Stegostoma tigrinum: one gene and its partner. The protein of the gene in region 1 interacts with the protein of each later gene in a pairwise test. Links are inferred from orthologs where the notes say so. Each region holds a gene or a part of one and is shown in the gene's direction. Other genes may lie near its edges.

What was found.
Region 2: the proteins of casein kinase I (region 1) and per2 interact in binary tests that used the Homo sapiens proteins (3 or more experiments, as listed by UniProt). The link is inferred for Stegostoma tigrinum from reciprocal best matches to the Homo sapiens genes CSNK1D and PER2.

The regions. Positions count from the first base shown.
Region 1 is NC_081375.1:27,797,680-27,808,263, reverse strand, and holds the start of casein kinase I, read left to right. Parts: upstream 1-6,377; 5' UTR 6,378-6,717; coding exon 6,718-6,793; intron 6,794-7,258; exon of another isoform or gene 7,259-7,580; intron 7,581-10,584. UniProt on the Homo sapiens protein: Essential serine/threonine-protein kinase that regulates diverse cellular growth and survival processes including Wnt signaling, DNA repair and circadian rhythms. It can phosphorylate a large number of proteins.
Region 2 is NC_081367.1:19,822,317-19,833,076, reverse strand, and holds the start of per2 (period circadian protein homolog 2), read left to right. Parts: upstream 1-6,196; 5' UTR 6,197-6,267; exon of another isoform or gene 6,268-6,599; intron 6,600-10,355; 5' UTR 10,356-10,369; coding exon 10,370-10,617; intron 10,618-10,760. UniProt on the Homo sapiens protein: Transcriptional repressor which forms a core component of the circadian clock.

The DNA.
Region 1 (10,584 bases):
GGTCATTATAAAATTACTGATAAAAAGAAACAGTAAACTACATCGGAGATAACACTCCATCACACAAGATTCCAAATAATGGGGTGATAAAATTAAATAGATGCAATAATATAATGTAAATACTAATAATGCTTGGCAAAACAAACTACATTAAAACAAAGATCTATCAAATGTCAGAAAAAACTTTCCAACAAGTTACAAAGGTGACATTTAGGATAATATTTAATCATGTTACAGGGCTCATAAAATAAATTGCACTGGAAGCAAAGGGATTCTAGAGAACGAAAGAGTTTAGAGATATGATCAAACTGAAACAAGCAGTGGATCTGGTGCAGTTCATGCTGCACTTACCAAGTGAGGACAATGGCAGGAGCAAACCAACGTGGTCCGCTGTCCTCATGCGTACTATACCAGCATGCTGAGGGCACCAGTCATTTTCAAGGGAGAACTCAATTGTCTCATGCAGCTGTGAGATCAGGAGGGCAAAGGCCTAATTTGAGCCTGGGAATGGAGGCAGCCAAACAGGAGAAGCAGATATGCAGCAGTCTACATTTTTTTCTTGTGTGTGTAAAATCTGAGCACTCCTCCTGCTGGTTTCTTATTTTGGGTTTTTAAAAATTTTGGACCCCTCTGATTTGTAGCAGTCCCAATAAGCATCAATGTGTACGTCGCATACAGACCACATAATCCTAATGCCTACTGCATTCAAAATAGCTATTGTCGGCTCAGGTCCTAAAACAGGCTTTATTATCCCTATTAACAGATTTATGAGCCCCCAAGCTGAATTTTCAAAATAGAATCAGCAAACCCCTGACAAGTTGGTGAATTTCTGGTCCTGCCTGTGTGCCTGATGCTGTTTTTAAATGTAAACAGACTGATTGGAGAGGAGGTGAGCTCAGTGCTCAATTAGAGGTGCCAAGCAGATCTGGAATGTGGGAACAGCCTGTCTGGTGCCAGTGACAAACAGAGGTGGCAACCATGTTGGGAGGTGCTGCTGCCTTGACTAGGGCATCAGTTTATTAAAGGGCCAGGAGGGTAGTGATGATGCAAAGTGATCATGGACACAAAGCCATGGAACACCACCTCACCTGGCACTAATTGACAAAGCCTGGTCCAAGTATCCGAGATAATGGGAACTGCAGATGCTGGAGAATCCAAGATAACAAAGTGTGGAGCTGGATGAACACAGCAGGCCGAGCAGCATCTGAGAAGCACAAAAGCTGATGTTTTGGGCCTAGACCCTTTATCAGAGAGCTCTCTGATGAAGGGTCTAGGCCCGAAACATCAGCTTTTGTGCTCCTGAGATGCTGCTTGGCCTGTTGTGTTCATCCGGCTTCACACTTTGTTATCAAAGTATCAGAAATGGCATTTCTGGTGGTGGCAAGCAAAAATAAATTGTTTTACTCCCAACAATGTAGTTGAAAAGTTACAATAATATTCCTTGACACATCAGAGGAACTCAAAGCTATTAAAGCAAACTTCAGCTAGGGAATGCCTGTATTCAGGGTATTTTAAAGTAAAATTACACAAACTGTGAATCTACCTTAAGGACATAATTTAAATGTCAATGAAGGAAAAGTGACTTTGAATGACAGCTGAGATATAATTGACTGTTTATACATAAAACATGAAATTAATCGACCCTATAAGCTTAGTAACATTGTATAAACTTGTTGAGTGTGTTATGTTTTGGCAAAATATATGGTATTAAATGAAACACAGCCATATTCACCAATTTACCATAAACATAAAATTATATGTATGTGTATTGGATTCTTGTGACATTTTATGTTCCTTTTCTCATCAGAAATTTACCTCAATTGAGCAACATGTCAAATTACATCATACCTATGACTGCCTTTTGTTATTTTCTTTCCTACAATTAACCCATTTTCTCAGAAAGTAGTCTGCCAATACTGTCAACCAGAGGAAAACTGAAAATTTATCATGGTTCACAATTGGACAAAGCCATCAAACTTCCACAAATACTCTAATGTTCTGATACTTTTCTAAACAGAGAAAATGAAGACCAAACATAAGCCCGCTGAGCACATTTCTGGTTGAGAAATTTTAAACAAGTCAAAACTGGACAAAATGCAATAAAGAGACCAAATATACCACAGAATTTGGGAAAGGAAGCAAAGGGTTGGGAGCATAACTGTTGGAAGGTGTTGAGCCTTTCCTAGAAAGAGAGTGGAAGGCCCAGCATCTGGTCTTGAAAGGAGTGAGGGTGAAAGACATTGCCTGATCTTGGATGTTCTGAACCTTCAGTTATTTTAATCAATTATAACCATGTCCTGGCTTGATCATGTCTTATTTCTTTCCCATCAGGCAACCTCTTCTTCTTGACATTTTGTTTAAATGCAACATAAATTGCAATATGGTATTTGTTTGTTGTTTTACAATTTGCATATCTTCTTGATATTTTCCTTCCATTGAGAGAAATTACTATATATTAATAAAAATTATGCATTTAATTGATTTGATTCTTCTGCCCAATTTATCATTTGGGCAATTGAGAGATTTCTATTACCAGTGTTAAAAGAATAAGATGGCTCAACAATTCTCAGCTTTATTGTCTATTTGTTCATGGTATCCAATGAATATGATTTCCTGTCTTCATAATTTTTTACTAATCACCAGATAAAATAATACAATAATTACAAAACAAGTTAGGGCGTGTCACAAAATCATTCTAATCCAGAAAATTTGGATGGGAGGAGATAAGACATAGTTTGGTAAAACTTGAGAGGAATATGGATGCAAGCCAATAATTTCATTCAAAAGAAAGCAAATACCTAGCAAACATGAATATAAAGTTAATAATATGAACCTCAGATGAAAAATAATTGTTTTCCCACCGTTCGACAATCGTGTGGCAAATCCGAGAACAGTGCAGGAAACAGCACCAACCTCTATACATGGTCCTCTTCGATCTCACAAAGACTTTCAACTCAGTCAACCATGTTGGATTGTGGAATATCTTCATCAAATTCAGCTGTCTGCAGAAATTTGTTGCTTGCTTCATGATGACATGCAGATCATGATCCTCAGAAATGGATACACCATTCATCCAATACAAGTGCCACCTGGGGTTAAACAGAGCTCTGTTATTGCACCAATGCTTTTCTCCATTTTTGTCTTCTCAACAGTCCACCACATCTCCACGAAGCTCCTTGACAAGTGTGGCCAACCTATAGGATGAGTTTGAAACTGCTCAACTTTCAATGACTCCAAATCAGAACCATGACCACCCCAACTTCTGTCACCGAGCTGCGGTACATAGACGATGCTCGCATGTGGACACACGCAGCGGCTGAGCTACAAATCATGGTCAATGCATTCACCAAAGTATGTGAGAAAATGGGCCTCAGGTTAAACATACAGAAAACAAAGGTTCTCTACCATTCCACTTCTGTCACACATCATAGTCCCCAAACTATCAAAATCCACAGCGAGTCACTGAATGGTGAGGATCATTTCCCATAACTTTGGAGCCTTTTCTTGGTGTAAGCAGATATTGAAGATAGAATCCAACATCGACTCTAATGCATTAGTGCAGCCTCTGGGTGCCTAAGGAACAGAGTGTTTGAAGTCCAAGGCCTGAAATCCAGCATCAAGCTCATGGTCTGTAGAGTAACCATGGTCCCCACCTTCCTGTATTTCAATGTGAGTATCCTCCCCCAGTCCAATATCCCCAGTATCAAGAGTCTAGTCACGCATGACCAGCTGTGATGGACAGGCCGCATTGTCTGCGTACTAGGCAAAAGACTCTGTAAATAAATTTTTGTATTCTAAGCTCTGCAATGTTAAGCTATCACTTGGAGGGGAAAGGGAGCACTACATCTCTACTGACATGTGGGAATCTCAGACCAATGAACACATAAGCTGGAAGGAATATCGGCAAGGATGCCAAGGGCTGAATGATTACTTTGTTCAAAATAGAATAAGATGGATTAGAAAGTTGGGTCATAATATAAGTAGATTCTGTTTAAATCAAGAAGGCAACTATCAAGGCTGCTTGGTATAATTTCGACAACCAAATGGATTTACTTAGAATTTATTCCAACGTACCTATGATAGATGAACTAAAATGAACCTTCAGTTATCTTTGCTTAGGAGAATACTTTTACAGGACCTGATAGAGTAGCCAGATGCAAAGATCATAAGAAATTGGAATATGAGTGACCATTCAGCCCAACAAGCTAGTTCCCCAATTCATAAGATCACGGCTAATCTGAATGTGGCCCAGTTTTCTTCCTGCTTCTGATGATCCTTATCTTCCTTGTTGATCTAACTTAGACTTGAATATAGTTAGTGCTCCAGCTCTCTGTGAAAGCAAATTCCAGAGTTTAATGACCATCTGAGAAAAGAAAGTCCTTCTCATTGCTGTTTGAATTGGGATAACCTTACCTTTAAATTGTGCGCCTAGTTATAAATTACTCCACAAGGCGAATCATCTCTCATCCCTTTCAAACCCCATCAGGATTTTTCAACAAGATCGCCTTGCATTTTTCCAAATTCAAAATGGTATTGGCTCACCTGTCCAAACTTTCCTCATAATTTGATTTACTGTAGTCACATGTACCTAAATACAGTGAAAATCTCTGTTTGCGAGCAGTACAGGCAGATAATAGTAAGCAAAGACATACAGATCATAGGGTGCTTGGACAGAGAGAGTTACACTCCACAGGAGGTGCATGAAGTAAGGTCAATATTATTTGAAGTTAGAGAGCCTATTCATCTGTATAATAATGGCAAGAAAGAAGTTATTCCTGAACCTGTTGGTATGTGTGTTCAAGCTTCTCTATCTTCTACCTGATAGAAGATGTTGTCAGAGAGCATTACCTGGGTTGGAGGGATCTTTGGTGATGTCAGCAGCCTGTCCACAGCAACAAGCAGTGTAAATGGAATTCATCGATGGAGGGTCTAGGCCTGAAACATCAGCTTTTGTGCTCCTAACAGGCTGCTTGGCCTGCTTGTTTTCTTCCAGCTCCACACTTTGTTATCTCCATAGATGGAAGGTTGGCTTCTGTGATGGTCTGGGCTGCACACACCATCTTCTGTAGGCAGAGCAGTTGTCATACCAGGCCGTTATGCACCTGGATAGTATGCTTTCTATGGTGCATCCATAAAAGTTGTTAAGGGTCCTTACAGACATGCTAAATTTCCTAAGCTATCGGAGGAAGAATAGGTGTTGTTGTGCCTTCTTGGCCATTGCATCCAAGTGGGAAGTTCAGGACAGGTTGGCAGTTATCATCACTCCCAGGAACTTGACGCTCTCAACCCTCTTGACCTCTGCTCTGTTGATGTAGATGGAGGAATGTTCTCCAACATGTCTTTATTAAAGAAATCGGTCCAGTTAACCATCTCTGAATTATTTTCAAAGTGTCCATCTTCAGTAAGCAGCCCAAAACTATACTCACCACTCCCTGTGCAATTTCACTGCTCTGTACAATTATCACAAGACTTCCCTACTTATATACTCTATCCCCTTTGCAATGAAAAACATTCTATTTGCCTTCCTGACTACTTGCAGAACCTGCCTGGTACCTTTTTGAGAATTATGTACAAGCACTCATTTGTAAAGCTGGAAAGAATGGTTGGTTCTTATTCCAAGTTGTCTTATGCCTTTATGATAATATATCCTAAAATAATTGCAGAGTTATGTGAGACAACAGTGTGGAGCTAGAGGAACACAGCAGACCAGGCAACATCAGACGAGCAGCAGAAGGGTTCCAACCTGAAAAGTCAACTTTCCTGCTCCTCTAATACTGCCTGGCCTGCTGTGTTCCTCCAGCTCCACACTGTTGTCTTTGACTCCAGCATCTGCAGTTCTAGCTATCTCTGCAGAGTTATATGGTTTATTTATTGATGTGCTAAAGTACAAGGACAAAACCAGTAAAATACTTGGAAATGAAGTAACTGCTCATACTGAAGGAAATTCCATGTTTAAGTATTCCAGATGACTCAAACAGTATGCATCATTCACATTAAATTGGATTTTCCTTGTGGGTGTGGAATAAAATGTAAAATATCAGATGTGGAAAAAGTGTTTTTTTTGTTTGTTTTCCCCTGTTGGATAATCACTTCTACTTTTATACACCATGGGGCAAAATTTATTTAAGACTTCAATATTTACATCTGCTTTGTCAAGGCAACAGCTTTATGACCCATACAAGGGGCAATTGTCTGTCATTACCAATTGGTAAATGCACTTACTTGAAAACTATTGCCTGTTAATATTAAGCAATGGGGCATTAGCTTTCTCTGTAGGTGTACAGAGGAGGACATTAGGATGATTCCCACTGCAGGAACTCAATGTGTATGGCGTCACCGACAGTCGCACCACCCTGTCCAGTGACGTCACACAACGGATGTGATGTCAGACCGTTCGCAGTCCGGCAATGGCGAGCTAGAGCCGAGGAAGGAGAAAGGAGAGAGAGTCACTCGAATCCGATGTAATCCTGCGTGCAGGCGGCCAGAATGACAATAAAATTTGGTGGAGCATAATCTACGGCGTTTAACGTGTCGTCTGGTGTGGATATTGTCGGGGTGCATTTGGAAAGAAGCGAGAAAAGTGTTGGTGAAAATCCCTCTGTGAGAGAGACTGAGAACAGACAGACACACACACACACAGAGGGAGAGAAATAGAGTTTCTCTGAGTAACCCGGGTTAAAATCAAACTCACACAGTGGGCACCAGGCGAAACCCACCATGGAACTCAGAGTGGGAAACAGGTACCGACTCGGCAGGAAAATCGGCAGCGGGTCCTTCGGAGACATATACCTGGGTAAGAACTGAGAGTGGATTTTAGGAACAAAATAAGAGATAGAATAGTCTTCATAACAGCACGGCTGAAAAATAGTGTGAGCAACATATTTAGTCTTGTGTCACTGGCCCCCGTGGAAAAGAACACGGTAATAGTTAAGAAAGAAAAGCTGTCATTCACATAGTCAATCTCCATATCCACAAGATGCTCCTTGGGAAGATTATGATTCTCAGGAATCACATATGGAAAGAGCTGACTGTTAGATAATGTCCAGGGTTCATTTCACCAGAACAGATGGACTGTTCCATCAATCAAAGGATAGGATATCAGTCATTTCAACCCAGCAACAAAGAAATCATGAACGAGAAGCGTAACCAGCGAAGCTGTTTCTTTTAAAACAAAACCACAGCTGATCTATGAAGTAATGCTCCTGGGAAATACAAGCTGTGGGAAATCTGAGAGGAAGTGGTTGAAATCTTCAATGTTTCTCAGTAATGTGAATGTAAAACAAATTGTCAGTTACCAAGTGGTGTTATAGTGCTGTATGTTGAAGGGATGCTTCAAAGTAATTGTTTTGTTAGTGCTAAAGTAGTGAATTGTGGGAGGTTGGTAAACAATCGGACATGTTTCTGGTGAAAATCGTTAAACAGGATCTGGGAATATCCATTGTTTTCATACAAGCAAGAGTGATTGCCCTTTGGTTGGAGTTAGGGAGTGTAATTTATCTGTAAATCTGTTTATGAAAAAGCAATTAATCATTTAAATGTGGAGCATCAAGGAGCAAATACATGTGGATGAGCCGTAACAGGTTTGTAACTTGAATTTATGATGATGGGCTTCCGCATATCGGACTGCTGTCAGTGTCATCTTAAAGCACAGTTAGCATCACATTTCCAGTGTATAGATCGTTCATTTCCAAAATCCAGCCTTTTCATTGTCAGCAGAAAACCTGGTGTCAACATCTTGACTGTGTGCTTCTCGAAATGCACTGACAACAGTTGGAGTAACAATTGCATATGAGGTTTCTAAGATTTGGTTGTTTTCAATTCTTGCTTGAATCAGTTTGATCTTTTATTAAATTGAGTCCATCATTGGAATGGAAGATAATGAAAGTTAAATATTTGAAAAGGATGAAGTCTTTTAACACAAAAGCAAAATACCGCAGATGCTGATGGTCTGTATTTTCCAGCATCGGATGTTTTTTATCACTGTATTTTAAAATAGCAACTTGCTTCCATGTGGGAGAGCTTAACCTTTATGTTGAACCAATCAGCTGTGCAAACCAACAGAACTGCGCAAACTGATATCCATTCGACTATTTGTGATAATTAAAATAATTGTTTTGTATACCATCAGTAGCAGTTAGCCCGACAACGAAAACAGTAGTGGAACAGCAATTAAATATTTTCAATAATTATACCAATGTTAGTAGAGTCACTGTCTTATCAGTTTCACTCCTACAATGAATGTTGATTCTTAAGTCCTAAATGTGTTATGCTAATTTCAACGTTAACAAAATTTGTATCAACTTTTAGGGGGAAATTAATCAGTTATGGGTTTTAAATATTCTAAAATAAATCAAGAAGCATGTTGATGTGTAAAAGTATCTTCTTTCACTGGATGCCGTTCTAGATAGCTACTGTGACTTCCCTTGTACTGCTGTAACATAAATGCAGTGATAGTGTTGCCTCTTAGAGTGCTAAGAAGAACCTTGGAATTGGTAATTTTCCAGAACTACTCTCCTACCGCTGAAAGCCCTTGTTCTGATAGTGAGACTTTCCAGGCACTTTTTTTCCTATTTTACAATTGCTGTCACTGCACTGAAATCATCCTGCCCTGAAAATGAGTGAGGTGATGTGGGGTGAATTTTCATGAACACCATATTTTTACATTTTCTCTGATTTCTTTCTGCGGTACTGTATGCCTCTTCCTAAATTCACATTAAAACTGTTTCCAAATTTTGGCTAGTCCTGTTTATGAACAATGATTAAGGTTTGTGTCGTTTCAGGAAATGAATCACGCACTTTTACGCAGATATGCTCCAGGCCAAAATGAGAGCTCAGTGAACAAACTGTAAAATATTGTGGAATCAATTTTTCCTTTAATAATAAAAGGAGAACTCCAATTTAGTGAATTTTATAACGGTCGTACTTAGGGTCAACTGCTGCACTGTTTGCACCTTGCTAGAGGTTCTGATTGCTTTGATCTTGATTTCCTTTTTAGTATTTTAAGGACTAATGATGTCTTTGCTTGCTGTGACACACTGTCTTTTGCCATTTTTCTCCCTACTTGCTCCCTTATACCAGGAGTATATGTTGCATGGCCTCGTATATTCGTGTCACTATATTCTACAATCTTAGTCCTTCAGTGGGGGAAGTCTCTGCTTGTTTAAATGGCAGCCCAGATCATTCCTAAATATCTCTTTTTAGTCAAAATTCAGTGTAAAATTCCTGTGAAACTGTGTTTCTTTTGTGATTGAAATATACTTTAAAAAGCAGTGTTTTAGGAACCAATTTTCAGTATATTCTTGGTTGGATTCTCTCTTTTGTCGTGACTTGTGCTTTGCCTGTCACTTCCCCCTCCCCCTCAAGGCCTTGATTCCTTTGTTTCTTTGTCCTGAAGCTGTATTGTGTAATTTGTTTTATAAAACACTGTTCAGATGGCCTTAGAGAATGGGCAAGAACTAGTTTTTGTTGATGAAATGTGTTTTAAAAGACCTGGTTAGTTCCCACTGACGATTCAAATATCATTGACTATCAAAGTGCTTTGTTTTTTGTTTTTATTTTCAATTTTCTTTATTGTTTGGAAGTAAACTGTTGTACTTGGTAGATTGACCTCAAAAGCAGAAGTACTCCTCAAGTCCTATTTAAATTCTGAACTCAGTCCGGCTGATATGTAACAGCACCCTTTAATATCATTTGAATGTGACTGACAGTCTTGTGCCATCTGGTCATTAAAAAATATACTTCTTCTTGAAGTTGTTTTGTCTTTTATGTGCAGTAAATAAAGTGAGCAACTTCAGAACAAAAACAAAATGAGATTGTGAGCTTTCATAAGTAAAATTGATCTTCCAGAATATTTGCTCAAGTAGGGGTGAAGTTTTGATCCATTTATTTAGTAAAATGAAGGAATTGTTTACAACCTGTTGCTCCCCTTCCGAGAATGTTGGGAGATTTGTTCAAGCAAACTTGAACCTCATTGGAAATAAGATCAGAAAGTGCTAGAAAAAACCTAGGCAGTTTGTCAGCATCTCTGGAGAGAAACACAGTTAATGTTTTGAGTCATATTGGACTTCTGCTTTCTGTTTTTATTTCAGCTCTCCAGCATGTCCAGTACTTGCTTTTAGTTGATCCTAATTAGCCCCACTTAGCAGTTTTAGCGCAAAATCACTAAGTCAGAGAACTCTGATTTACTGCCTTATGTCTCATCTGGGTAAGATTGCCTTTCATTTGATCTTGGAACTTGAACTTGGTTCACACTTACCAGATGTTTTGCCACAACCATACAATATGACTCCAGTGGTTCAAGAGGCAGAGTTGTGCTCATGGCCTCCCATTTTTGTTTTACCAGTATTTGAATTTTGCATCCCTAATTATGCATAGGAGTTTGATGTTTTTTCCCATAATTCTGATTGTGGGTTATTAATTTCCAATCTGCCAGCATCTAAAATGTTAAATTCTTGCCCTTATCTTAGAACCCTTTCTGGACGTGTCCTTTGCCACTCTGTAACCTCCTTTGGCATCAGATTTTCCATTCTGTTGATTGTGGTCTTTCTGTAAAATGTTAACTGAAAAGACTACATTCTGAATTTA
Region 2 (10,760 bases), on another chromosome or scaffold:
TCCTTGGGATGAATTTCTGCCCACCCACCCGAATTACCCGCAGGAACTCCTGTCATTGCTGCTCCACTGTCTTCCCTGTTAGGCTCAAGTTCTAATCAACTCTGACCAGCTCCACCCTCATGTCTCTGCAGTTACCTTTACTCAATTGTATTACCATTACATCTGATTCATCTGGTTGTTGACATATTGTTGACTGTGTCTCTCAAATATATGCTATCCAACAATCAATCTCCATTTCATCTACCATTCCATGGGAGTAAATTGATATGTAGTTCAAGGTTCAAAAAAATCAATGCAGTAAGGACAAATGCTCTCTTTGAACAGTGAAACAGCATCCTTAGCATAATGACCTGTAGGGGTTAAACAGTATCTAATTAAGACAACAGCTGACGAAAATATCTTTCAGAATAAGGCCGAAATCTACAGTTAAAAAATATTGCTGTTGTGTTATCTTATTGAGGGATTTTAATCAAAGCATAATCACTAATGTTTAAATCACTATTTACAAAGGAAGAATTCAGTTCCGATAGGTTTACTTAGAAGTCAAAAGTGAAACAGAAATTAGACATAAATGACAAATTTGCAAAAAAAAGCACCAACACAGCAATAGATTTATAGGGGAATTATATTTAATCCACTTAATCCACTCAACATGTAACTGCCTGAGGTCATATTTTACCTGACCCTGTCTTGTAATGCAATCTGGGTATCCAACATCTACTTATTATTGTTTGTTGCTGGCAATGTTTGCTAATGGATTGGTACACATTTCAGGTCAAGAAAATAGATTATGAACACTCAAATTATATTATTTCTATCAATATATCAGATGATACTACAGGGCAAATTTTGCTACATTATACTGGGGCAGAGAGATCCAGGGTTTTCTGAGAATAAATTTTCGTTAATTGATTTGCTCCCACTAATCTTAATCAACGGAAAATTATTAGCATTATGAATTGGATGCCATGACCACTGAGTCAGGAGCAGAGCCTTGCAGAATTTATCCTTGATAACTCACAAAGAAGTCATTGTAATTCTGACATGCTTAAAAGATTAAACAAAAATCACATGGCAATCATGTACAGTAAGGAAGCAAAATGTTAAAAATAGAACAGTGTGATTTTTTCCCCCATTACAGATTACCAGAGAACTTATTCATTTATATCAAATGTTTGTTTTGCATCTGTATTTAGCATGAAGCTTCAATTAGCTTTGACTTCATAATTTATTTGCATCATCTAAGTTCAATAAGTTACTGCCTTGTGGCACAGCCTGGCTGATACTACTTTGCAATGAATGCTGTGTATTTATTCTGTACATAAGGTTATTTTTATTGAGATTATTCTACCTAAATCTGTGCAGGGCCAGACCTGACTGAACACAGTAGAAGCTGAATGAGGGTGCAAGAGTTGGTGGTGCAATATTGAGAAGTGGGGTCCTTTTGAGTGCATCTCCCATGTCCCTTTTGCCATTATTTCCCTCCTTACCCAGTGCCACAACATTCCTGTCACCCTTCTTCCAAGTAGCTTGGTGCAGATCAGTGATAGGGTGTGAAGCCATGGATAAGATATGCGATGTTTTGTTTAAAGCAGCATACTGGTTTGGCAATAAATGTTTACAATGGCTGTGGTCATGACCTCCACAAGCCTACAAAGAATCTTTCTTGAAGGTAGTGATGTTCACCATGGCAGGCAGTTTTGCAATTTGTTGTTCTGTTAAACTATTCACTATTGAATTGTGCCTTCCAGCTCCTCCCTATCAGAAAGATAGAGCTTTTTTGCACACAAGGTGATCAGATAATTATTTTTGGCATTATCATAAATCTCTGTACCCATCTTGTCTAATTAATTGTCAAGTATGTGTGCCTGTAGGATTCTTGCTGTGCATGAAGAACCTGAGGCACTGTATCTAATTGACCAGAGCTGGATTAGGATAATGCCTTCCAATGGAGACTTTGCACAGTTGCCCCTGCCAGTGGTATCTGATCATCCTCGTTAGTGAGAGCTGACTCATCAGGTGAAAACCCAATAACTTTTTAAGTGGATCAATTGAAGTATGGGCACTTGTGTAGATGCATGGTGGAACCTTGTTTGGTGGTGTAACTTGAGAAGGAATGAGGTCCACAATGGCATGAGGGGTTATGGACACAATTAGCTCAGCCATAATTTCACTGAGTGGTGGAGAAAGCCTGAGGGGCTGAATGGTCACTCCCATTTCTCATGTTCTTATACTGTTATGTCCTGTAATATTTGCTACACTCATACAGGCCTTAGAAGTCTAAAAGTAAATGAGTTAGTTGTGGAAAATCACAATGTAAGCAATTACCAGCTTCACGTCTCCCCTCAGTTCAGCCATTAATGAAATTGAGTCAGTACATGAATTTAAGATATTTCTTATTCTGTCAAAACCCGCCTGTGAGGTTTCTATACTTCCAGCTGTGACTGAAAGGCTGAAATGTGCTTCTTATTTCCAGGCTTCCTTTATAGTTTCTGTTTCTTGTCCCCTGTCATTTGTGTTTTGTACTTTTTTCTTCCACCAGGGCTCAAAAAAGCAGAACTATAAGTTTGACTGAAGGCAAGGGTGACCATGAGACAGATGCATCATATTACATATGAGTTGAGGTGAGTGGCAACAGTTCATAGATAAAAGAAACGATGGAAAGGACAGAAATTTATGGCTGAACAACACAGAGCTATTTCTAAGCCAAGCAGCAGAAGCAGCCATGATCATAATAAATGGCACAGCAGGCTTGAAGAGTCGAATGGCCTACTCCTGCTCCTACCTTCCATATTTTTATGCATAGAACACCACAACCTACAAGTTCTCCTCCAAATAACACAGCACTAGTTCTGAGGAAGGATCAGTCAACCTGAAATGTTAGCAGTGATTTCTCTCCACAGATGCTGCCAGACTTGCTGAGCTTTTCCAGCAATTTCTGTTTTTACATCATGTAATTGCATCTTTTGTCATTACTTATTGTCCTAAATTTTGGAACTGACTACCTAATAATACTCTGGGAGTGCATTCACCTCTCATAATGCAGTGTATCCAGAAGTAATCCCACCACCATCTTCTCAAGGGGAATTAGAGGCAATAAATGCTCATGAATGAATAAAAAGAGAAATATACTTTTCCTGTCCTACTATCTGCAGTACCAAATTTATCTGGCTTCACCTTAGTCGAGGTAGAGTCAAACATTTGCAGTTAAAACCTGTTGGTTTCTCAAAGAGGTAAGTAAAGGATAATCAAAGTCTTTGCCTTTTGGTGGAACTCAGCAGAATGAACTGACTGAGCTGCATCTTTGTTTTTTTTAAACCATGCTGTTCCCTCCAACAAAGGTATCATCAGGTCTGAACTCCTCTTCAAAGAGTACAGTAAGTTTCAGGTTGTCTTCCTGCGATAAATACTAAATTTCAGTGGCACATTGATTACCATTCTCTCCCACTTTTTTCCTGAAAGATCAAATTAATGGCTAGAATGTAGTACACTTCTTTCCTCCTTCTTTTAGTCTTTCCTCGAAGAATTAGGGGGCTAACAACACTACATCGTCTAATGTGAGTTCCTATTTGGACAGCGAGAATTCTGCCAAACTTCGCCCAGCACTGCAATCAAATTTAAGAATCAAAAATGTTAATTCATTTCTTTTTCATTTTTGGCAGCATCTTCCATAATCCTCTGCTTAATCAGAATGGGTCACCACAGTTGCAGATTGCACGCTGAGTGAATTGCTCTAGGAGTACTCCAGCAGTGGTTGGAGCAGCTGCACAAGTTGTTCTAGATGCACAAACACAGATAAAATAACATGTGTAATATGTATGTATGTATATGTGCATAGACAAATCATGCAACAATGATTGAGATTTATATTAAAAATATATTGAATGACAGTTTTCTATTTGTTAGGATTTTACAAAAGACAGGATTTTTTCTCTGGCCACCTGAAAAGTCAGCAGGGAATGTATTTCTACGTTGAAAGGGTAATTAACTGGGGTTAGAATTCCCACCGATTGCACAGGTGACAAGTTCCATCTCAGAGCTACCAATCTCGGCAGTTAGATTCTACTAATGGCAGTTCAGTAACCTGAAATGGGACCAAAGTTGTTAGCAGATTCTTTGTTCAGTTGCAGATAATCTAATGGCGGGAAGAAGAGGAGAGGTTTGAGCAGGTGGGGAAAATAGGTTGGTGTTCTTGATGGAGGGAAAGCTCCTGATGGCTCAGATCCTGGGATGTGGAGAAGTGTCCAACATGGAAAAGAGGCTGTTAAACAAAGTGATTCAAGTCCTTTCACACTGCTGCCCCCGCCCAACACATTTTCCAGTCTGAGGTGTCAGCAAAGTGATTTCTTACATGGCTTCCCTCCTGCTCCTGAATTTTTCTCACTTGCCTGAAATTGAAGTTAGAGGAAACTGATCTTTAAATTGCCAAATTAAGGATCTCAATTAAGTCAAGGATAGGTGTGCTCTCCGAGGCTTCTCTTGTTTCATTCTAAAATGGGAAACTATTTAGGGAGGGTGGTGACAATGTTATGTAGGGATTTTTTTATACACCTCAACTTCACACACCTGTTGATGGGTAGCGGGGGGGGGGGGGGGGGGGAGGAGAAAGTCAAATCAATTCCACATGTCATAAATTCACTTTCCTTGTATTCTTCAAAGAGAGTTTCCACTTGTAGATTATGTTCCAAAAATCTGAAGCATGCACTCTGGACGGAACAGAATACCTTTGCTTAACAATGGCCCTTAATTGTTTGCATTGTACATTAGAAGTAATTTAAGAACATTCTGCATTCTTTGGCCTCCACCAAACAAGAGAAGATACCTCACCAGAACACTATGTACATGCCAAAACTCATTAGTTAAACAATGTCTTGTTGCCACATAATATGGCAAGATACTAAGTCACCATAATACTTCAATACAAAAAAAATTACACCATTCGTGATCAAAATACCTTTCTTACACTTCCTACAGAGACTGTTAAAATAAAACTTTTGGATGGAACCCAAATTTATCTTTGATAGATCTTCCAAGGTTGAATACAAAAATGTAGATGCTAAATCAATCTGTGGGGTTCAGGATTCCTGCTAGCATTGTTATATACAGAACTTTCTGGTTTTTAACTTGTTCTGAAGTCCAAATAGATTGTTCTGTGTGTTTAAAAACCATCTTGAATCCATGATAATAGTGTGAAGCTGGATGAACACAGCAGGCCAAGCAAATCTTGAATCCATTTTGGGTTAAATTGAAAAACTTCTGAATTATAAAGGAAACATGTACCCTTGTGAACCATAAGATCAATCGTTCTTATCCACAACAAATTCAGAATAAGGAAGTAGAGCAAACAGCGCAGGTCATGGGGTGTGATTGAGTCAAATTGAACGGAGATTGGGTATAATGAACATTGGATGAAGCAGAGAAACAAGTCAGAAAATGTTTTTTTTTTAAAAGACAAAGCTCTAAGAATAATACAAACTGTAGGAGTAAGAGTCGAGTTGCAATTGCTTTTATCTGAACCTCTAAGGATAACTGATAGTTATGTCAGGTCAGATAATGACATTATGAATAAGGTAGTCATGGCCCAAAATAGTGGCTCGTAACAATTCAAATTGTTTCGTTTTCACCGGGCAAACGCAGCAATTTAACACTCAGACGGCGATCGATTGAGTTATGGGGAAAGCAGCACCAGTGCGGTGCTTTCTATGGTGATTATATATTGTAGATAACTCATCCCACAGAGGATCACTTCTTGGTCGCATATTGTTGTTCTGCTTTTTCATTAAAACGCGTAACCAGCACTCGCCATTACACAGCCAATTCTCAGCTTTTGTTTTTCTCTCCTATTGTGCACCTTTCATTGCACTGCCAGCCGCCTGACATAAGCCACACCTTGTGCAAGTCACGTTTGCATAAAGCATGCTCTTGCACAGCCAGCGCCGGAGCAGAACGCAATTAATAAAGATGACAAAGGTAGCTCTGCATGAGCAGAGAAGCCCGAGCACAGACACATTGGGATCCACGTGAAGGTTGTGTAGCGCAAGCGGCTGATTGACAGCCAGTGCGGCTAATGGTAGCGTGCTGGCTGCCAGGCCTCCTGAAGTGCCAATGGTCTGCCTCTCAGGACACGGGCGCTGCCAGCCAATGGGAGAAGTCGAGGGCCGGACTTGTCACGTTCCCCGATGCGTGCAGCCGCGCGAGCTAAGTGCAACATTGCAAGTGAGCTTGGATCGCGCTGTATTGCGAGTAGGGAGATCAGCGCTGTTTGAGGTGAGGTGTTTCCCTATGCTTCACCTTAGCTTGTACAGATCTTCGGGGGAGAGGGCTGGTGGAAATATTAGTTATTCTTATTTTCCGACACACAAGATTCTCGAATTAACTATGCAGCTGATGATTGTTGGTGTTTCCTTCACTTTATGAAATTAGTAAGTCCGGTACAACCAGATAGGTATTTGGTGTCCGTGCCTTCAGTACATGGGTTGGGTCCCTGTGTTTTATAGAACGGTTACATAATCCCATCAGTGCTCGGGAAATGTGTTGATGCGAGCCGAGGAAAATCGTGCAGTGGTTACATTTGCTTGTCTGGAAGCACACACGCCCAGGTAAGGTGAAGCTACCCTGTAGGTTGTTGCAATTTTTTTGGATCAGCTGTGACCCCTAAGTTTTTATTTGAACTACAATGTGTTAAGTTCTGCTCTTGTTAATTTCAACCAAAGACAGGAAGAAACAATCTAGTGGTGCTTGTGAACCAACATTCCTTTCATTCGAAGTGTAGGATTTTCTTGTTTACAACTGTTGAATCTAAAATTATGGTTAGTGTTACGCAGTTTGTTTTTTTTAACTTGATGCTTTTTATTAAGCTGTCAGGTTTTTTTTTCTCCTGTGTGTCTGTTACATTTGAAACCATTTCAGTCCATTCCAGAGATCTTCTGATCAGGCAACCAGATAGTTTGGTCACTTAGAACCCACAGGGCATAGGAGGCTATTCGGCATCTTATTGGGCTAGATGGTACTGCCCTTCCTCTTCCTCTTCCCCAGTTGGGTGCAGGAGTAAGAGGATATTTGGCCAATAACGTTTGGGGATGCCTGATGCTACAAGTTGAAAATGGGTGGGTTATGCCCCACGACCAAATCACAATAATCATACATGTGATAATTGCATAATATCAAGCACATGTAGTTATTGTGCTGCTTTCTCCTAAATTGCTGTTGCATTTTTCACAGCTGAAGGCTCACTGCTGTTAAATTATAGCAATTAGAATTACTTATGCCTGAAATCTAGTAGATCTATGAAGTTTGTCAGTTTGGAGTTATAGTTCCAAATCCAAATTGTTTGCATATGATTTCCAGTGATTTTTGTATCCAGCAATTATTATCAGATCTGAGGATCCTCAGAACGAAGCAACTTATTTTTATAAATTTAAGTTCAATATGATGTATGATTAGTCAAGACACCCAGAGCAAAATGCCAATTAAATTAATTTAACAGAATCAGTTAATCTCCATGATTTAGAACTTAATCCAGAGGATAAGATTGTGTTTGGATGGATGTGTATGATTTACATGCATTGTTATGCTTTTATTTGAATGTAACATATTGTTGTCATCATACACACTTTGGTGGGTATCAGCGTGGCAGTTTTCTCTACGATTGTATTAAAAACTAGTCAGTATTTAAAGTTACACCCGATTACAGTTTATTGTTGCCAAAACAGAAGATTATGCTAAATCTTGTTCATAGCGTTTACTGTTTTCCTGTGTTTTCCAAATATTAGAATTAATGTCAGGTTCACACAAGTCAGTTTCCAATTGATCAAATATGTGTGTTGTATCATTGTCCCAATACTTTGTTCTTGTCCTAATCTGTCATGGTAAAATGTTGTTGTTGATCTTGATTTCTGAAAATGTTCCGCCTGTGGAGTGCTTTTACGTGTAAACAAAAATCTGTTTTGATCTGCATGATACTGTTTTGAACGTGACTGTGATTTGCTGCTTATTTGGGTCATGGAGAGGGATAGCGGAGAAAAGATTTTGTTGAAACTATCATAGTCAAACCAAGTGCACTTGTATTTTAATAATCCCAGATTTACAAAAATTTTAAAAGAAGACATTCAGCAGGACAGTCTGCAACTGTAAAAATGAAAGCCAGACCATGACATTTCAGATGTAAAGTTTAATCGAATGGCTGGTTGTGATGAAAGGTTACATACCCAAAATGTCAAACTTTCTTTTATCTTTATAACGGTCACTGTAGGTAACTAACTGTAAAGTCCATAGATCTGTTGGGAATGACTTCTCTTTTACGTTGTGATGTTGATGTTCAACTTCTGTTGCTGAAGCAGGAAATATAAATTAATTTAAAACATCTCTGGGTTGTTGGGCCAGAAATGATTTTTGCATCAGTGGTCTATTTTGAGGTGAACTAGTTAGACTTAAAGATGAACCATTGCATATTGCTGCATAAGTTTGAGAGCTTTAATTATTTTGTAGGTGCCCGAAAATGAACTAGTTCAGCAAAATAAAATGCCTGGAATACATCCATTTTTTTTAATTGTCATAAAAGAATAAATGTAGTAACTTATGAAATATCTATGCTTCAAACAGCAGTGAACTGAACTACCTGGTTCATCTGCATGTTTGATTTCTTTAAAACTTTTTTATTTTCTTTTGCCCTTCTCTCGAATGTGGGTGCCACTAGAATTTGTTGGCCTTGAACTGAATGTCATGCTAGGTCATTTCAGAGACCAGTTAAGAGTCAATCAATGCGGTGGGCCTGGAGTCACATGAAGGCCACACCAGGTGATGATGCAAAATTTCCTTCATATAAAAGGATATTTGTGAAAATGATTATTGTTAAAACCATGTATATTGTTTCCATTGTCTCCTTTACTGAAACTAGTTATATTCCAGATTTATTAAATTCGCACTGTACTAGATTTGAAACCGTGACTACAGCACATTAGCCAATACCTTTGAAACAAAGGGGTTGCTATTAATCCAACATCTCCTCTTAACTGGGCTGTTGAACCAGCGTTTAAAATTCAGATTACATTTGTTTCTTGCTACTAATATTATTTTAAAGGGAAGTAATTAAAAAGTAACTTACTAAACAAATAAACTTGATATTTTTTCAAAACTACATGATCAGTTCAGATTTGACAGGTAAAATTCATTTTCCCAGGAGAGTAATGTGGCGCTGAAAAGTTTTAAACAAATTAAATAAAATTACAAGTTTTGAGAATTGCAAGAATATACATTTTGTTCTCATGTTAAACATTCTCTATATACAGCCCAAAGGAGTCTACACAGGTTCGGGTCCTCAGTCTATTATGATGAGAAGGCCTTAGTTTGTGACCTTTCCACGTTTAACATGAATAAATATTAGTTTGAAACTGAAAAGTGCAAGCTACTCTAGAAATTGGTCGAGATATGCAGGTTGAGTAAATAGCTCCGGATTTTCACCAGGACAGGCACACTTTACTGAGAAGCTCATCTTGTGCTGTAATGTGAGTGGAACAATCTTGTCTTGAACTGAATGCTTGAAATCCAAGAAAATGTTCTACTCAATGTGCATTTTTAAATTTTTAAACTGCACTGTAGACATGAGGACTTTTTGCCTGCTTTGTCCTGTTAAGGAGAATCCTGTACACCACCATGGTGGACTGAAAATTCCATGTGGTACAAAATGAATTGGGCAGACTCATATCTGTTCCAAATGAAAGGGACCACACTATAATAAGTTCCCAAAACATGGACAAATATAAGCAGTGCAACTGATCACAAGGATGGATGTTGTAGTAAATTAGGATATGTCGCACTGGAACCGGGTAGTCCACTACTGTGGAGTTGAAACCTATTATGAAATTAGATGAGGCATTTTTTCTGATCTTTTGCTTGTTTAATGTTTGGTATCCAGTGATCCATTGATTGACAACATTTGTGCACGTGCGATCCCACTCCACTCTGTCCCATTGGGAATAGTGTTCCTCCCCAATCAACCCTATTCCTGTTTCCAGATTTTGTGCCTGAAACTGTTTTGGAATTAGTAATATTCTTCATTGTTTTGAAATAGATTGTGTTTTATGGTGGTTTTACGGTATTTGGTAAGAATCAAAAGCTACCGATCACACACATCAATAGTTTGAAGAGATAAAAGTAGGGGGATAGCTGACTTCTTAGGTTTGACTTTTCTGATCGAATACAAGTCATCCTTAATCTTAGAAGTAAACTTTAGTTGCTTTCTATTTTTACGGCTGGCAAGGAAAGTGCATAAATTCTGTCAAGTTTCCGGGAGAAGGTAATTGGCCAGTGTATTTCTGATGGTTTTGATAAATACATTTCTTATTCTTGTTCTTCAGACTGACATCAGACTATGGCTACCTATTCAGAATCTGGGTTCCAAGAGGCTGAGTTGGTCCTGCATTCAAGTAGTGCCAATATTCAGGATCAGAGACAAGATCGAGAAGTACAGCAACTGCATGATGATGTGGAGATGAAAAGTAATGGCTCAAGTGGGACTGATTCAAATGTGAATGAATTTTCAGAAAGCTCGAGCAGTAGCGCCAGTCAAAATGGAAAAGATTCAGCTCTACTTTTGGATTCATTAGAGAGCAGCAAAAGGTAGGAAACTGTACAAATGTATTTGGAGCAGTAGAAGTACTATTACTGCTCCAGCATTTTAAAGGGCTGTTCAAAAATGCAATGTTTGTCTGTCAATGCCTGTAAAGCCTGCTGATATTATCACCAAGTGATATTGAACTTCA